Linked DNA regions of Astyanax mexicanus. The protein of the gene in region 2 purifies or fractionates together with the protein of the main gene of each other region. This does not show direct contact. Links are inferred from orthologs where the notes say so. Each region holds a gene or a part of one and is shown on either strand. Other genes may lie near its edges.

Region 1 (7,179 bases), on a different chromosome or scaffold from region 2:
TAGGTGGATAAAATGGTATAGTTAAGTGGTTGCAAGGTTTTGGTATGGTGTTGGTAAGTGGTTGCCATTGTATTTTAAGTCATTGCTATGGTGTTGCTAGGTGGTTGCTATAGTGTTTGTAAGTAGTGTTACTATGTTTTGTGTTTAAGGACAAAATTACCTTCAGACGCGTGACCTGCTTGTGTGTCCAGTCTTTGAACTCGGACGCCCCACTGCTGCTAACCCAGAGCCTGATAAGCACCGGTTCCATCAGTGAGTCAGAGACAGACGCAGGGCGTTGGGTCTGGAGGCCGGATCTGCAGCTCGGTGCAGGGCAGGCTGCTGTAGGTGGGTGTGAGGGCAGCTGGGTGGTTAATATGAGGCTGTAATGGATTATAGATGGGATCCGGGTCAGAGACGGAGGGCCGAGGCTGCAGTAGTGAACGAGACGCTCAGTTTAATTCCATGTTTTGGTCTTTGGCTCTTTTTTAAGCGCAGGCCGCAGCCTCACGGAAATATCATCACTGCGACGGACTCTCCCTCACTAATTACTGCCTACTGTACCAGCCAACAGCTCAGCCTCTCACTCACTATACTGCTCTTACTCTCTCGCTCGTTCAGCTTTCTCTCAGTTTTCTCTACCATTGCCTTCACTATTTCCTTATATATACAGTACTGTGCAAAAGTTTTAGGCACCTGTGGAAATTTTAAGTAAAGAAAAAGCTTTTATCTGTGCAGTAAGTGTTTATTATCTTAGTAAAACACATTATCTCAGCATTACAATAAATAGGTGTTTTAAGTTTTCCTTAAAACAACATCTCCTAATCTCACCTCCTCATCTAATAGAGTTTAATAGAGTTATTTATTTCTAGTTCTCATCATATTAATCAACACCTGGTTTGGTCTTGTTCTTCACCTTATTGGCTCACAGGATAAAACAGTATTTAACATACTTAGTTAAAATAAGTAACAATTCCTTGTTACGTTTTACTGTATTTATGTTTATTTGCATCTGTTCAAATCATATGTGGTCCTTTTTTTCAGGTAAAAAAAAAACACTCATATTGCTCTGGTGCCTAAAACTTTTGCACAGTACCGTATACACCTGCATTAATATGAGAAAAAACACGTACATGATCGTTCTGGATGGGAAAAAAATCACAGAGCATAAAACAAACATAAAAGAGAAAATTACCCAGAACCTCCAGAGAAAATGTTGTCTGTAGTTTATAGAATAAAACAACAATGTTCATTTTATTCAAACATAAACCTATAAATAGCAAAATCAGAGAAACTGATTCAGAAACTGAAACGATCTCTTTTTGTCCCAGAGCTGTATGAATCACTCAGAAGAATTACAATGATAAAGTAAAGTTGGATGTTAACAGTGACCTAAGGTAAGATTTAAGGAAAGTGTTGCACACTTGACTTGGGAAGGTGTGTGTGTGTGTGTGTGTGTGTGTGTGTGTGTGTGTGTGTGTGTGTTGGGGCGCAGGCTGGTGTTAGGTAATGTGTGGAGGGTGAAAGATGGAGTGATGAAGTGAGGGAAGGGATGAAGGGATGGGAAAGAGGAGGGTGCTGGAAGTCTGCAGGAAGATGGATCTCACCAGGAAGATTAATTAGTCTCTGACAGCGACAGCTAAAGTGTCACAGCCATCTGGAGAGTGTGGAACTTCAGGAGACTTCTGACTGTGTGTGTGTGTGTGCGTGTGTGTGTGTGTGTGTGTGTGTGTGTGTGTGTGTGTGTGTGTGTGTGTGTGTGTGTGTGTGTGTGTGTGTGTGTGTAAATGTGCGCATCCATGCATGCTTATGAGACTTGGAACTGTGCTTTCTGTATGTGTGTGTGTGTGTGTGTGTGTGTGTGTGTGTGTGGTTGTTGTCGATTAGAAAAGTTCTCAGAAAACATGTGAAAAGCAACTGCAGAGTGTTAGAGAGGACCATCAGCTCCCATGACCTTCACAGCTAGTGTGTGTGTGTGTGTGTGTGTGTTGCACATACATTATATGAGCAAAACTATTTGAGACACCTGGTCACTCATTGTTTCTTCTAAAACTAAGGTATTAAAAAAGTTTATCCTGCTTTTATTGGAATAACTGTCTCTAATGTCAGTAATTTGAGTGTAACTTAAAGTAACTTTATTCATTAAACAACGTGGAACAAACATAGGGACATACAGCTCTGTAAAAAATGAGTTTTATTGATTTTACCAAATTATAAACCTCTGGAATATAATCAAGAGGAAGATGGATGATCACAAACCATCAAACCACCAAACTGAACTGCTTGAATTTTTACACCAGGAGTAAAGCAGCATAAAGTTATCCAAAAGCAGTGTGTAAGACTGGTGGAGGAGAACATGATGCCAAGATGCATTAAAAAAAAACTGTGATTAAAAACCAACCAGGGTAATTTCACCAAATATTGATTTCTGAACTCTTAAAACTTGATGAATATGAACTTGTTTTCTTTGATTTCTTTTTTTTCTCTGATTTTGCTATTTATAGGTTTATGTTTGAGTAAAATGAACATTGTTGTTTTATTCTATAAACTACAGACAACATTTCTCCCAAATTACAAATAAAAATATTCTCATTTAGAGCATTTATTTACAGAAAATGAGAAATGGCTGAAATAACAAAAAAGATGCAGAACTTTCAGACCTCACTTAATGCAAAGAAAACAACAAGTTCATATTCATAAAGTTTAAGAGTTCAGAAATAATCAATATTTGGTTGAATAATCCAAATGGTTTTTAATCCCAGTTTTTTTTTCATGCATCTTGTCATCATGTTCTCCTCCACCAGTCTTACACACTGCTTTTGGATAACTTTACGCTGCTTTACTCCTGGTGCAAAAAATCAAGCAGTTCAGTTTGGTGGTTTGATGGTTTGTGATCATCCATCTTCCTCTTGATTATATTCCAGAGGTTTTAAATTTGATAAAATTAAAAAGAAACTCATTATTTTTAAGTGCTCTCTTATTTTCTTCAGAGCTGTATGTACATAAAACATAAAACAGTAATTATTTTTCTGTTGCCATGTGTTGTTGTGACCAGAAGGGGGCAGTGGAAACGATGGACAGAGGCTGATGCGGCAGTATGTCGATGTAACCAGCAGGCGGCGCCACACATCAGCAAACTTTCAAATAAATTAAGAAATATAAAATATTCCTTTATAAACACGCCAGTGATTTATTGATGAAGCTCATAGCATCACAAATAATGCAGTAATATTATTACTAATAACGTATTTACGGCGAAATTGAAAAAAAAAAAAAAAAAAATATATATATATATATATATATATATATATATATATATACATTATGTATTTTGTAGCCATATAAACTGCAATCTGTTACTACCATGAGTATACTGATAGTATATGTGTTACATATAACATTTGTGTTATACAGTGTCTTAGATGCATAACCCTCCAAGTTAGGTTTTGGATAATTAATGTACATTTATTTTACCTCGCAATAGAATTATCAAACAACAAAAAAACACAACAATAAAAACTGTACATAATGTAAAAAAAGTTATTTAAATTGAATTTTAACTTTACTCTATATTTGTTAATTCAGAAAAAAATATTGAGTAATTACGTGTTATTACAATGTGTTTGTATGAAATGCAAACAATACGCTGCAATATGAAAGACTCATTATACTGATATAAACGATTGAATATCTCAAAATAATAACTGAATATCTTAAAATACCACAGTATCTAGTAAACCTATAGTAAAAACATTAATTAAATAGTTATTATGAATTAAATACAAAATAACGACTTAGTATCTCAAAATAATAACTCAGTATCAGAAAATAACAAATTAAAAAGGACTTAAAGTATCTTATATCATATTAATGGCATACTATGTAAAAATGATTTGTATCTTAAAATAAAGACACATACGGGCTCTTAGGGAACTTCCGGTGCCTCGTGCTGAAACCGCTCTCCGACTACATTTCCCAGTATTCCTGAGTGGAGCCGTGACGTCACACTCCCTGCATTCTCCTCTCCCGGGTCGTGTCTGAGTAACGCAACCGGAGCTTTTCCCCTCACCGCCCTCCACCCACACACACACCCGGGTCCCCCGGCCCGCAGACCCCGCCAGCGCACCCATGACCCGGCGGATTTAACGCGCGGAGGCCGCCCGGATCCCCCCGCCAGCCTGAGTCCGCAGTTCGGGTGAGTTCGGCCGCGTTTCTGCCCTTATGTGAGCGGGTCGCTCTGTAAACAGTGAGCCGCCGCCGCCGCTGCTACTGCCGCTGTCAGGAACCATCAGTGTAGCTGTAGCTTTACTGAGCCTCTCTCACACTGTTTACAGCTAAAACTCGCCTTATTCCGCCTTAAAAACACTTAAATTCTTCACCAGCGTGTAAAAGAAGAGTCTAAAATATAAATATCAGCACTGAGCTGCTTCTGTTAGTGCTGTAAACCTGTTGACAACGTGTCTGTTGTGTAGAATCTGCTGTAACTACAATAGTTAAGCTAGTTAGCTTAGCTAGTTTGGGTTTAGCGAGAGTTAAGTAACGTTAGCTAATTAACTAACTATTTAACTTAATTAACTAATTAAAAACGTCTGGAATATAATCAAGAGGAAGATGGATGAACACAAACCATCAAACCACCAAACTGAACGGCTTAATTTTTTGCACCAGGAGTAAAGCAGCATAAAGTTATCCAAAAGCAGTGTGTAAGACTGGTGGAGGAGGAGAACATGATGCCAAGATGCATGAAAAAAAAAACTGTGATTAAAAACCAACCAGGGTTATTCCACCAAATATTTATTTCTGAACTCTTAAAACTTTATGAATATGATTTCTTTAGTAATTTCAGTCAATTCACATTTTCTGCAAATGAATGCTCTAATTGATATTGAATATTTTTATTTGGAATTTGGGAGAAATGTTGTCTGTAGTTTATAGAATAAAACAATAATGTTCATTTTACTCAAACATAAACCTATAAATAGCAAAATCAGATAAATTTATTTAAAAACTTAAGTGGTCTCTTAATTTTTTCCAGAGCTGTATTTAACTACTTAAATAAGGTAGTTAGGCTTAATTCTCCACGTTAGGCTAACTAGTTAGCTTCACTCATCTGGCTGGCTGCTTTTTATCATTAATCAATCAGTAATCTCTGTTTGGCCATTGACTTGAATTGCGCTGCATTGTTGTCCTGATTGATTGATTGATTGATCAGTTGAATGATTAAGTGGTTGATTTATTTTGGCCGTGTGTTGTGTAGGGATGAGTGATATGACCCTTAAATAATATCACGATATTTCATGATATTTTCACGATAACGATACTTTTGGTGATATGACAAAACACTGAATAAAATATATACATATTTTAAGAATACACTACTGAAACGAAATGAAAATGTAATTTTATTATTGCATACGATATGAAACAGCATACCCCTAACTGAGATCTTAAAAAAAATACAAGAATATTATCAGATTTATAACAAAAGTAAATTATCCAAATATCTCCATATGTCCAAAATTAAAGTAAAATAAATCATACTGGACAGATATAAATGTTGGCGATATGATTGTGTACGATACGATATGACACACTCCTAATATACAATTCAGTATATTGCAATATATTAATTTATAGCTTGTTGCGTTGTGATATATATATATATATATATATATATATATATATATATATATATATATATATATGTTCTTGTCAATGCACACATTTATTTAGTGTGTTATAATAGTACTAATGATTATAATAATAATGATTAATAGGGTTGCACAGAGGGAATGTGGAAATTCTTGCTGATGCCGATAACTGCTAACCGATATTATACATGTCCATATCTTCCAATGCCAATAAACACATTTATAATTTACAGAGATACTATACTTTTTGGTCTAACTTAACAAACAAATGTTACATTTATTTGCATTACATTTTAGCTTTCTACCAACTTATGCAAACAATAAAATTGAAAAGTTTTCTCTTAATTTTTTTTTTTTTTCATTTTTTTTGGCTAACAGATCCTTACATAGACTGTTCACTGCTTTAAATACTATTTTTTAACAGGTAAAAAAAAAAATCTTTTGACATTAATCCTTTTTCGGCATACAATAAATACACCATGACCAATGCTGATTAAGCCTGATACTGATATAATTCCAGTATCATCATGCATCCCTAAAGATTATCAAACCAAAGTTGGGGTTTTAGTTTGAGATAAATTAGCTAAAATGCAGGGTAGCAGTTCATTTTAAAATATTATTATGGTATTAAAATGTGAGGTTCTCTCTTTTCTAGAGTATACAGAGCATTATGTTTTTCTGCTGGATCTGGCTGCAGTATTAGCAGTAGTAATAATAATGTGGGTCATGTGAGGCTGTAAAGTGTGCAGTGCATGCTTTATGAAGGACTGGAGCTCAGCACTGTTGCGTCATCTTTGTTGACCGGCTCCAGAGCTCGGCATGTTAGCATGTCTGGCTAAAATGCTAACAGGGGATGAGCTTTACAGATGTTGAGAGGTTGGCTGAGCTCCAGTCTCGGCCACGTTGAGACAGGGGCGGGTGTTCCAGCACATGATTTAATTTAAAGCTGCAGTGCCCTCAGCTCAGCTCTGCTCTGCAGTCAGGTTAACATTCAGTACATGTTCAAATAGTTCATATATACAGTATATCTAATAAAAGCTGCTCAGATCAGATTTGTGTATCTTGTCGGTTCACATTCACTGTAAATGTAAGTGATCTGTATCTGTGTGTAATGTGAACACAGAATCTGTCCCTGAATCGTCTCACATGCTGCACATTGATACCTGTATAAACGCCTCCTTCTTCACCAACAACAAAAACCCTCATATTAGAGAGAGGAGAGACTCGTAGCTTTATAAAAGGAAATGGATGTAGAGTTAGCAGCTCATATGTGGAGCATCTTTTGCTGGAGTGAAGAAACAGGAAACAGCTGCTCTTAAGTTCATGCTCAGGTCCAGGAGGTGAAAAAAAAAGGACAGTTTGCTTTTGCTGTTTTTTTTTGCAGCTGCACCAAGAAATACAGTGTGGGTACGAGAGACAAGCACATAGCCCCAATGCTAATGCTAATGTGTAAAAGCAGCAAGATGCATAAATTCAGATTTGACCGTTCACATTCATGTCGCATTTTCGTGAATCAGATACATATCTGATTTAGGACCACATATGAAAG
Region 2 (7,252 bases):
ACTGTATTGAGCTGAAAGATGAACTTGAAAGCGAGTATTGTGATTGGCTCATTTCATTAGTAGCCAACATTGTAATAAATTGGATCAGCTGTCCACATTACTGATGTTCCTTCTCTCAATTTGTCCTCTTCTCTACCTCCACCTTCTTCTGGAGAAGAGGAATAGGAAAGGTGAAGGAGTCGTAGCAAAAGTTCCTGGACTCATAATCTACTCATCCTCTGATCTATCTTGTCTTTTATCTGATGTCTGTACAGTGACTGCATCTAATCATTTTGATCTACATGATGAACTTCATCCTCTGAGTACAGACTCTTCACTCTGTCAGATTGCTTTGGGTAAAAAAAACAACTTTTTTTTAAAGTGCTTTTTCTTCACAGGTACTGATCACATCAAAACAGCTGGTGTTTTATCCTCTTGAAAGTGACTTTGTGCTCTATATATATGGTAAGTTTTCCTGTAGTTATAATAATCTGATATTATATGGTTGCTGTGATGTTTTAAAATCAACACATTATTCTTACTGTAAAGTGAAGAAACATTAAAAAAAATCACTGAGCAAAAGTTGTGCTTCATTTTTAACTAGTTTTTAACTGTACTTTTTGTCTCACTTGTCTGAATTTCCTCTACAGGGAATATCCTCCTGGATTTAACTGGCCTGACTGTAGGTTGAGGTAATGATGCGTTTATTCATTATTCACCCCAAGTCGATACCATCATGGCAGACTGTTTTGTCGTGATGTTTTTTTATCTTGGGAGATCATATGCAGGACTGGCACAGGTTTTAGTTGAACTGATCTACATAAACCTGACTAGAAGGCCTGCTACACGCTTTAACCTGTATTCTCTTATAGTTCTGTAACAGGAGAGGGTGACCTGTGATTCTGTTTGCAGGGAGATGGAGAACTGGACCTCATCTGATGGAAGATGAAGACACTGTCTGATGTGGATCTTTAATTCAGGAGCTGCTCGATTTCTGCGTCTTAGACTGTAGAAGCTACCAGAAGCCCAAACAAGGAGTTTATAGATCTATTTTTAATGTATCAGTATAAAGGCAGTGGTTCTGAAACTGTTCCTCTGTAATGTATGGATGGAATGTATCTCTGTAATGCTGTCTTGGAAGGTTGTGTAAAAGGCATTTTTCATTAAGTGTTTCACCACATGAATAAAATGTACCTGTTTTTGTTGAACAAGAGTTTGTCTGCTTGCCCTCACTGCTTTGCTTTAAGTGATCTTATACAGTAAATACACTCATTTTAACAGGGCAGAGTTACAACAGTCATGTTTTACACAAAGAACAAGGTAGAAGACAACCCAGAATCATACTGAAAGATATGAGCTTTACACTTTCAACAATCATAAGGACTTTCTCTAAGCTTTTCAAGGTTATTTTTAAACCACAAAAAATGAAATAAGAAATCGCAGTAGCAGTTAATGGTGCTGAATAAAGTTAAAATACTTTCAGAGGTTTGGTTTGCTTGTTAAACTTTGCCATTTTAAAAAAGGACTAACATTAATTTAAACAATTCCTTTTCAAGATTTCTAAATTAGAGGCAGACACTTTTACACTATAATCATGGGGGAGAGTTTTTTGCTTTGGTTTTTAAAATCTATAATCTAAAATGACATTGTTCAGGCATTTACTGTCCCAGTATCACCAACCATGACTTAGCCTCGTAAACCAGTCTGACCCTAGTGCCATTTTTAAGTTTATAAAACAGGGATTCTAGTAAAACTTGTTTGGATTACTAGACAGGACAGAGTCTAAAAACGTGATATAAAAAATATAATTTGGAACATTGAACACTTGAAATTTATTTGGTAGTTTTAAATCTGGCTCCTTTTTAATAGGAACAGTAACTGAGCATGTGCACAATGAGCAATCATTCTAGCTTGTCTCTGATTGGAGGATGGAAGGCTTTATAACTCCCTGATCTCTACTATAGTGAATACATGCTCAGCATTAATTGATGTATAATAATTAGCTATATTTAGCATTGTGTAATGCCTTGTTTTTGTGTGTTGTATAGATGCAGTGCTCTGTGGGAGCTGCTGTTATAAAGGTTTCGTACTGAAACTTTATAGTCTGTACTTAAAATCTAAAAATCCTTATCACTACTGCTGTGGTCTAAAACCGTCTGTTAGATGCCCTTTATCTGGATGTGGGTTACACAGCCTTCACCTCTGGAGGAACTAAAATTTGATTTGAATCATATATATGGTCTACTTTGTGTGTATGTGGAAATCTTAATTCTATTTATTCTATGATTTATTCATTTGTATATTTATCATAAGGTGTATATGGTTGTGGGTAAGTTATTCTTGTATTTCTGTGGGCTCTGCTCTGTTTGGCTTTTTTCTAGTCTCTGAACTCTGTGAATTAGGCCTGGTATGTAATGATTTTAATGTATTTTAAAAATGCATCTTTGAAAAAATCTAATAAAAATATTTAATCTGAAAATATTTAATCTGTCTTTAGTGGCAGAGCATCTTTTTTATTATCTTGCCAAAAAATACAGGTTTAATTTCATTGGACATTTATTATAGTTACAAGAAGAAGTTTTATTTATGTATTTTTTTACCTTTTGCCTTTTCTTTAAACAAAGAATTGTGCTTATATAATATTGGTTATATTTTTATATTATCTGTTTATTTAGTGAAGAGATAGAAGTTTGGGATTTTTTTTCTTACTCTTACTCTAACTTTTTCTTTTCTCATGAGGTTTTTAAGTCATTTTGTATATAATGCAAATAAAAAAGGCCTAATAAATAAGGATTAAATATATTTCTCATTATTATTATAGCCACAGTCTGTGATTCTGTGAGAAGGTTTTAAACTGTGGTCTAATCTTCAAGTCATAAAAAAAAACAAAGACTTTTATTATTTGTCTAACAAAAGCACAAACAAGGGTCACATTTCCATTTCTATAAAGAGCAAATGGTTTAAACAATAGAGATCTTTGCAATGCAAAACTATTTAAATGACCTGAGCAGTTTTTAAAGGATGGCAATAAAGAGTCGGCAGCTGCTGTCAGATCAGACTGGATTTACCTGCCTAGTGTGAACAAGAAAAACGGGAGAAATATCAGGGTTCTAGATTAAATATTATAAACATATTTATAATTTCTTACTCATGAGCCTCCAAGAGTGGCCTTTAAGCTAGGTTACTATAAAGTATGTGCTTTAGGTCTTTGTAAAAACAATTTTCTAAGTAAGACTGAAGGCATAGGTTTCAATAATGACTTCAATGTTCTAATAAAAACAAAAAAGTCATTCCTAAAAAAGTTTGCAATAGATACATTTAACCAAAAAATGGTTCACAACTCCAAACAACAAAGATTAACTCACACACCAAAAAAACAATATAGCCAGGGAGGAAAAAGAACAAACAAATGCAAATTAGATTACATTTAAATATATATATATATATTTTCAGTCCCTTCTCATAATTAGTGAAACCAAACAAAACATACAAAAAACATGTAAAACAGATTCTGGTTACAAATCACAAAATGTACAGTTTGTAGTAACTTAAATCCACTAGTTATCAACCCAAAACACATTGTTGTTGTTTTTTTTCATTATTATTATTCATTTTGTATCCAAACAATAAACAATACAATCCAACAGCATGAAATATACACAATAATAGGTCAAATACACAGCAACAACAGTCCACAACAGCACATGCACTTTAAAACAAAAAAAAACTAAACAACAGAAAAAAAGAAAAGTGGGATTCAAATAAAATTAAAACGCTTCAAAATATCGATGGATTTATGACATTTTTTATTTTTATTTTGTCGAAAATTAGTCAGTAAGTGGAAATAATTATTCTTATATATATATATTTTATAATAATTAAGTCTGAGTAAACAAAAGTTTGAAAAAAAAAGTTAATTTAGTATGGTGTATATAAAAATGTCCTAAAATAATAATTAAATTTACTATATTTGTATATATTTGTTAACTATATTTGTATATCATTGTGATCAAAATAAAGGGTCATCAAAAATATTCAATATATTCACCATTATTTATGGTAGAGAAAGGAGGCGCCAAAATGGGGACTTTTATTTTGTCGGGTGTAGGCGGTGTAGTGTGGCGGGGCTGCGGGACTGTGGCGCGGTTTATCAAACCCTGAGCAACACCAGATCATCATCCAGCAGCAGCAGCAGCAGCTCCGCTTTAAACCCTTTAAATCATGTCTGACCCGCGCAGATACAGACAGGAGGAGAGCTGCGCTGCGGAGGAGAACAGGTACATGTGTTTCAGGGTTGATTAGATGTAGTTTGTGGGGATTAAAGTTCAATAAATCCGTGTTTATCTCCGCTTTACCCGGATCTGTGTGTGAGTTAGCCGGACTGGGCTAGGCTAGTTAGCTTAGCTTCATTTCTCCCGCGAGTTTCAGAAACCGCGGGATTATTATCCGGCTATCTGAGAGCTGCTGTTCGTTTTTGGAGCTGTTTTAGCAAATTTATACTTTATTTAATATTTAGGTACCAGCCTTTACACTTTTATTGATTTATTAATTTGCTGCTGATTGTGTTATTTAGTTAAGTTAGCTTGCTAAGCTATTTAACGTTAAGTGTGCCTCATTTTTTATGTTGAAGCTGTGTAACAAACTTTAAGTAACATAACCTAACACTAACTAACTAACTAGTGCAAGAGTTTTTATTTTTAGTTAACCTTGAAGAGCTTGATTTGGATTCGTTGTTATATAGATAGATAGTTATTTAACCCTGCTGAACTGCATTGTTCATTGTGCTGGAGTGTTTGTTTATTAATGGTGAGCTTGTTAATTTAACTACATTAATAAAACAGTTACAATGCTAGTTTATTAACTAGCTAACAGCTGGCTGGTTCGGTCATTAAGCTTGTGATTTGACTATATATATTTTTATATATTTTTTGTTTTGTACTAAAATAACTAACTTAGCTAGACTAACTAAATGTCATATTAAACATACTTAACTAGCTAACCTAGGCTTAGCAAATTTGCGAGCGGACAAGTTAACTGAGCGACAGCTGAACTTTATTATTAATATAATCAAGTATTATGTTAAGTGTAAATAATAGTATTTAATTCTGAATTGGCTGGAGAAAAGCTTGAGCGCTGGAGTCTCTTCTGCTTTGGCGCGAAATGGTAAAGTGCTGTTGTTCAGTTTGAGTTCTGAGTTCCAGAAAAATAAAGCTGCTAGATTAGCTGGCGTTACCTGACGACTAACACACTAAATAAATAAACAAACTAAATAATTTAACATTAAATAGAGCGTTGATGTGTTTAGAATTGTTTAAAACTTAAAGCTGGTTTAATTTGCAAATGCTTATGTGACATTTTTATAGAAAGTCTTTTAAACTTTGATTCTGAATATATTTGGTGACATATAAACTGAAAGAAGAAGTATTCTGAATGTTTTTTTCTGTTTGTTTTTGTCTGATTCAGTTCTGTTTTTAACCCCCTGTGTCTGTGTGATTCTGTCAGGAACAAAGGGTCTTCCAGATGGTCGCAGTGCCGGAAGCGTGGAGCTGATGGAGTCGTGAGAGGATCACAGAAAGAAGCTGAATTAACTAATAACACTGACAGAAAAGGCAACAGACCGCACAGACCTAACAGGTAAAGATATTTCTGTATTTTATTTATGTTTTTGTTAGAATAAAGTTATGATTCCTTTTGTGTGTGTGCGCATGTGTTTTGGTCAGGGGTGTCAAAAATTAGTACCCTGTTTTAGGCATAATTTTGAATGTCTTTCTCTGTGTTCTAAAAAGCAGTAGCAGGTTAAATAATGATGTTTTTATTCTCCACCACTAGTTTCACGACTCCAGAAAGCGAGGGACCTGTCTCGAGGATAAGGGACTGGGGAGATGAGGTGGAGTTTGATGAAATGCGCACTAATGTGCGACGTGACATGCAGCGGTCAGTTCTCTTTCTTTTTCTCTTTTCTTTTTTAATTTACTTATTTATGTGTTTTGTTACAGGCTTTAGCAGGTTTAGTTAATGTCAAGCAGATCTGTGCTTGTCTGTAAATTTAATATTTCTTGTTGTTTCAGTTACAGACGAAGGATACTGGCTGGAGAGTTTACACAAAGAGAGAGAAAAACCTCGTCTGGAAGGTTTGTTATGGCTAATATTGCTAAGATTTTCTTCTATTGTGAAATTGAAGGGGTTTAGTATTAATGCTTTTTTTTTTTTTTTTTCATTTTGTGTGCAGTTCAGACTCCAAAGATTCCAGGGACTCTCCTGCACCTGGAGAATTTGAGACAGATGAGTCTGTTTTAATGAGGAGACAAAAGCAGATCAACTATGGAAAGAACACACTCGCTTATGACAGATACATTAAAGAAGTGCCAAAGTGAGTGAAATGCTTTATTATTCTGTTGCCATTTTTATTTACACTCTAGTCTCGCCTAAAATTCCTAAACTATATATATTTGCTTTATCTAATCCATCAGTTTATTCTTTAATATTTATTTATATTCTCTTCCTAGACATTTGAGACAGCCAGGAGTCCACCCCAGAACTCCTAACAAGTTTAAGAAATACAGCCGCCGCTCTTGGGATCAGCAGATAAAACTGTGGAAAGTCAAACTTCACGCGTGGGATCCTCCTACTGAAGAGGGCAACGACCTGCAGGCAGCGTAAGTAATTATTTCTTGTATTTTAGTATATTCTTAGGCATATATTATGCATTAAAAAAAGTTGTCTTTTCTTTTGTATCTAAAAATCATGCATACTTAATGCAGCTCATATTAATAGATAATTGATTAAATAAATGCAAAAGTACATATGTTTAGATTTGACTGAGATTTAGTCATTAAATTTAAGAATATATAAATGTTAAGGTGACTCATTACTGTGCAAAAAACATGTGCAATTGATATTTACTGTAATTGTAAATTGTTACCATTTCAATTTCAGATAGTCTATAAAAAAATCATATCAAAGTCTCCCTCCTTTGATGTTCATTGAAATGTTAAAGTTCTCTTCTCTTTGCTTTCTTTAGAGATCAGATTGACCTTGGTGAGATCATGGATTTGGATTTTGATATGGAAGCTTCAGTAGATGAGCTTCAGTACCCAAAGACCAGTAGTAGTGTTTCATCTTCGTTGCCACAGGTAAGTTGTTTAAACGTGAAAATATTAGAAAGTGTGGATTTATGGATCTGTATTTTGCTATAAAACATTTATTGCTTTTTTAATTAAAATACAGTATTGATATTTGTAATGTGTGAGTTTTAAGAGTTAAAAGTACACAA

Evidence for each region.
Region 1: the proteins of histone RNA hairpin-binding protein (region 2) and ctif purify together in Homo sapiens (affinity purification with western blotting; 3 studies listed by BioGRID). This does not show direct contact. The link is inferred for Astyanax mexicanus from reciprocal best matches to the Homo sapiens genes SLBP and CTIF.

What each region holds. Positions count from the first base shown.
Region 1 is NC_064424.1:46,833,310-46,840,488, forward strand, and holds the start of ctif (CBP80/20-dependent translation initiation factor), read left to right. Parts: upstream 1-3,995; 5' UTR 3,996-4,174; intron 4,175-7,179. UniProt on the Homo sapiens protein: Specifically required for the pioneer round of mRNA translation mediated by the cap-binding complex (CBC), that takes place during or right after mRNA export via the nuclear pore complex (NPC).
Region 2 is NC_064417.1:316,649-323,900, reverse strand, and holds the start of histone RNA hairpin-binding protein, read left to right. Parts: upstream 1-4,100; 5' UTR 4,101-4,200; coding exon 4,201-4,256; intron 4,257-5,481; coding exon 5,482-5,613; intron 5,614-5,808; coding exon 5,809-5,913; intron 5,914-6,047; coding exon 6,048-6,110; intron 6,111-6,208; coding exon 6,209-6,349; intron 6,350-6,485; coding exon 6,486-6,635; intron 6,636-7,000; coding exon 7,001-7,112; intron 7,113-7,252. UniProt on the Homo sapiens protein: RNA-binding protein involved in the histone pre-mRNA processing.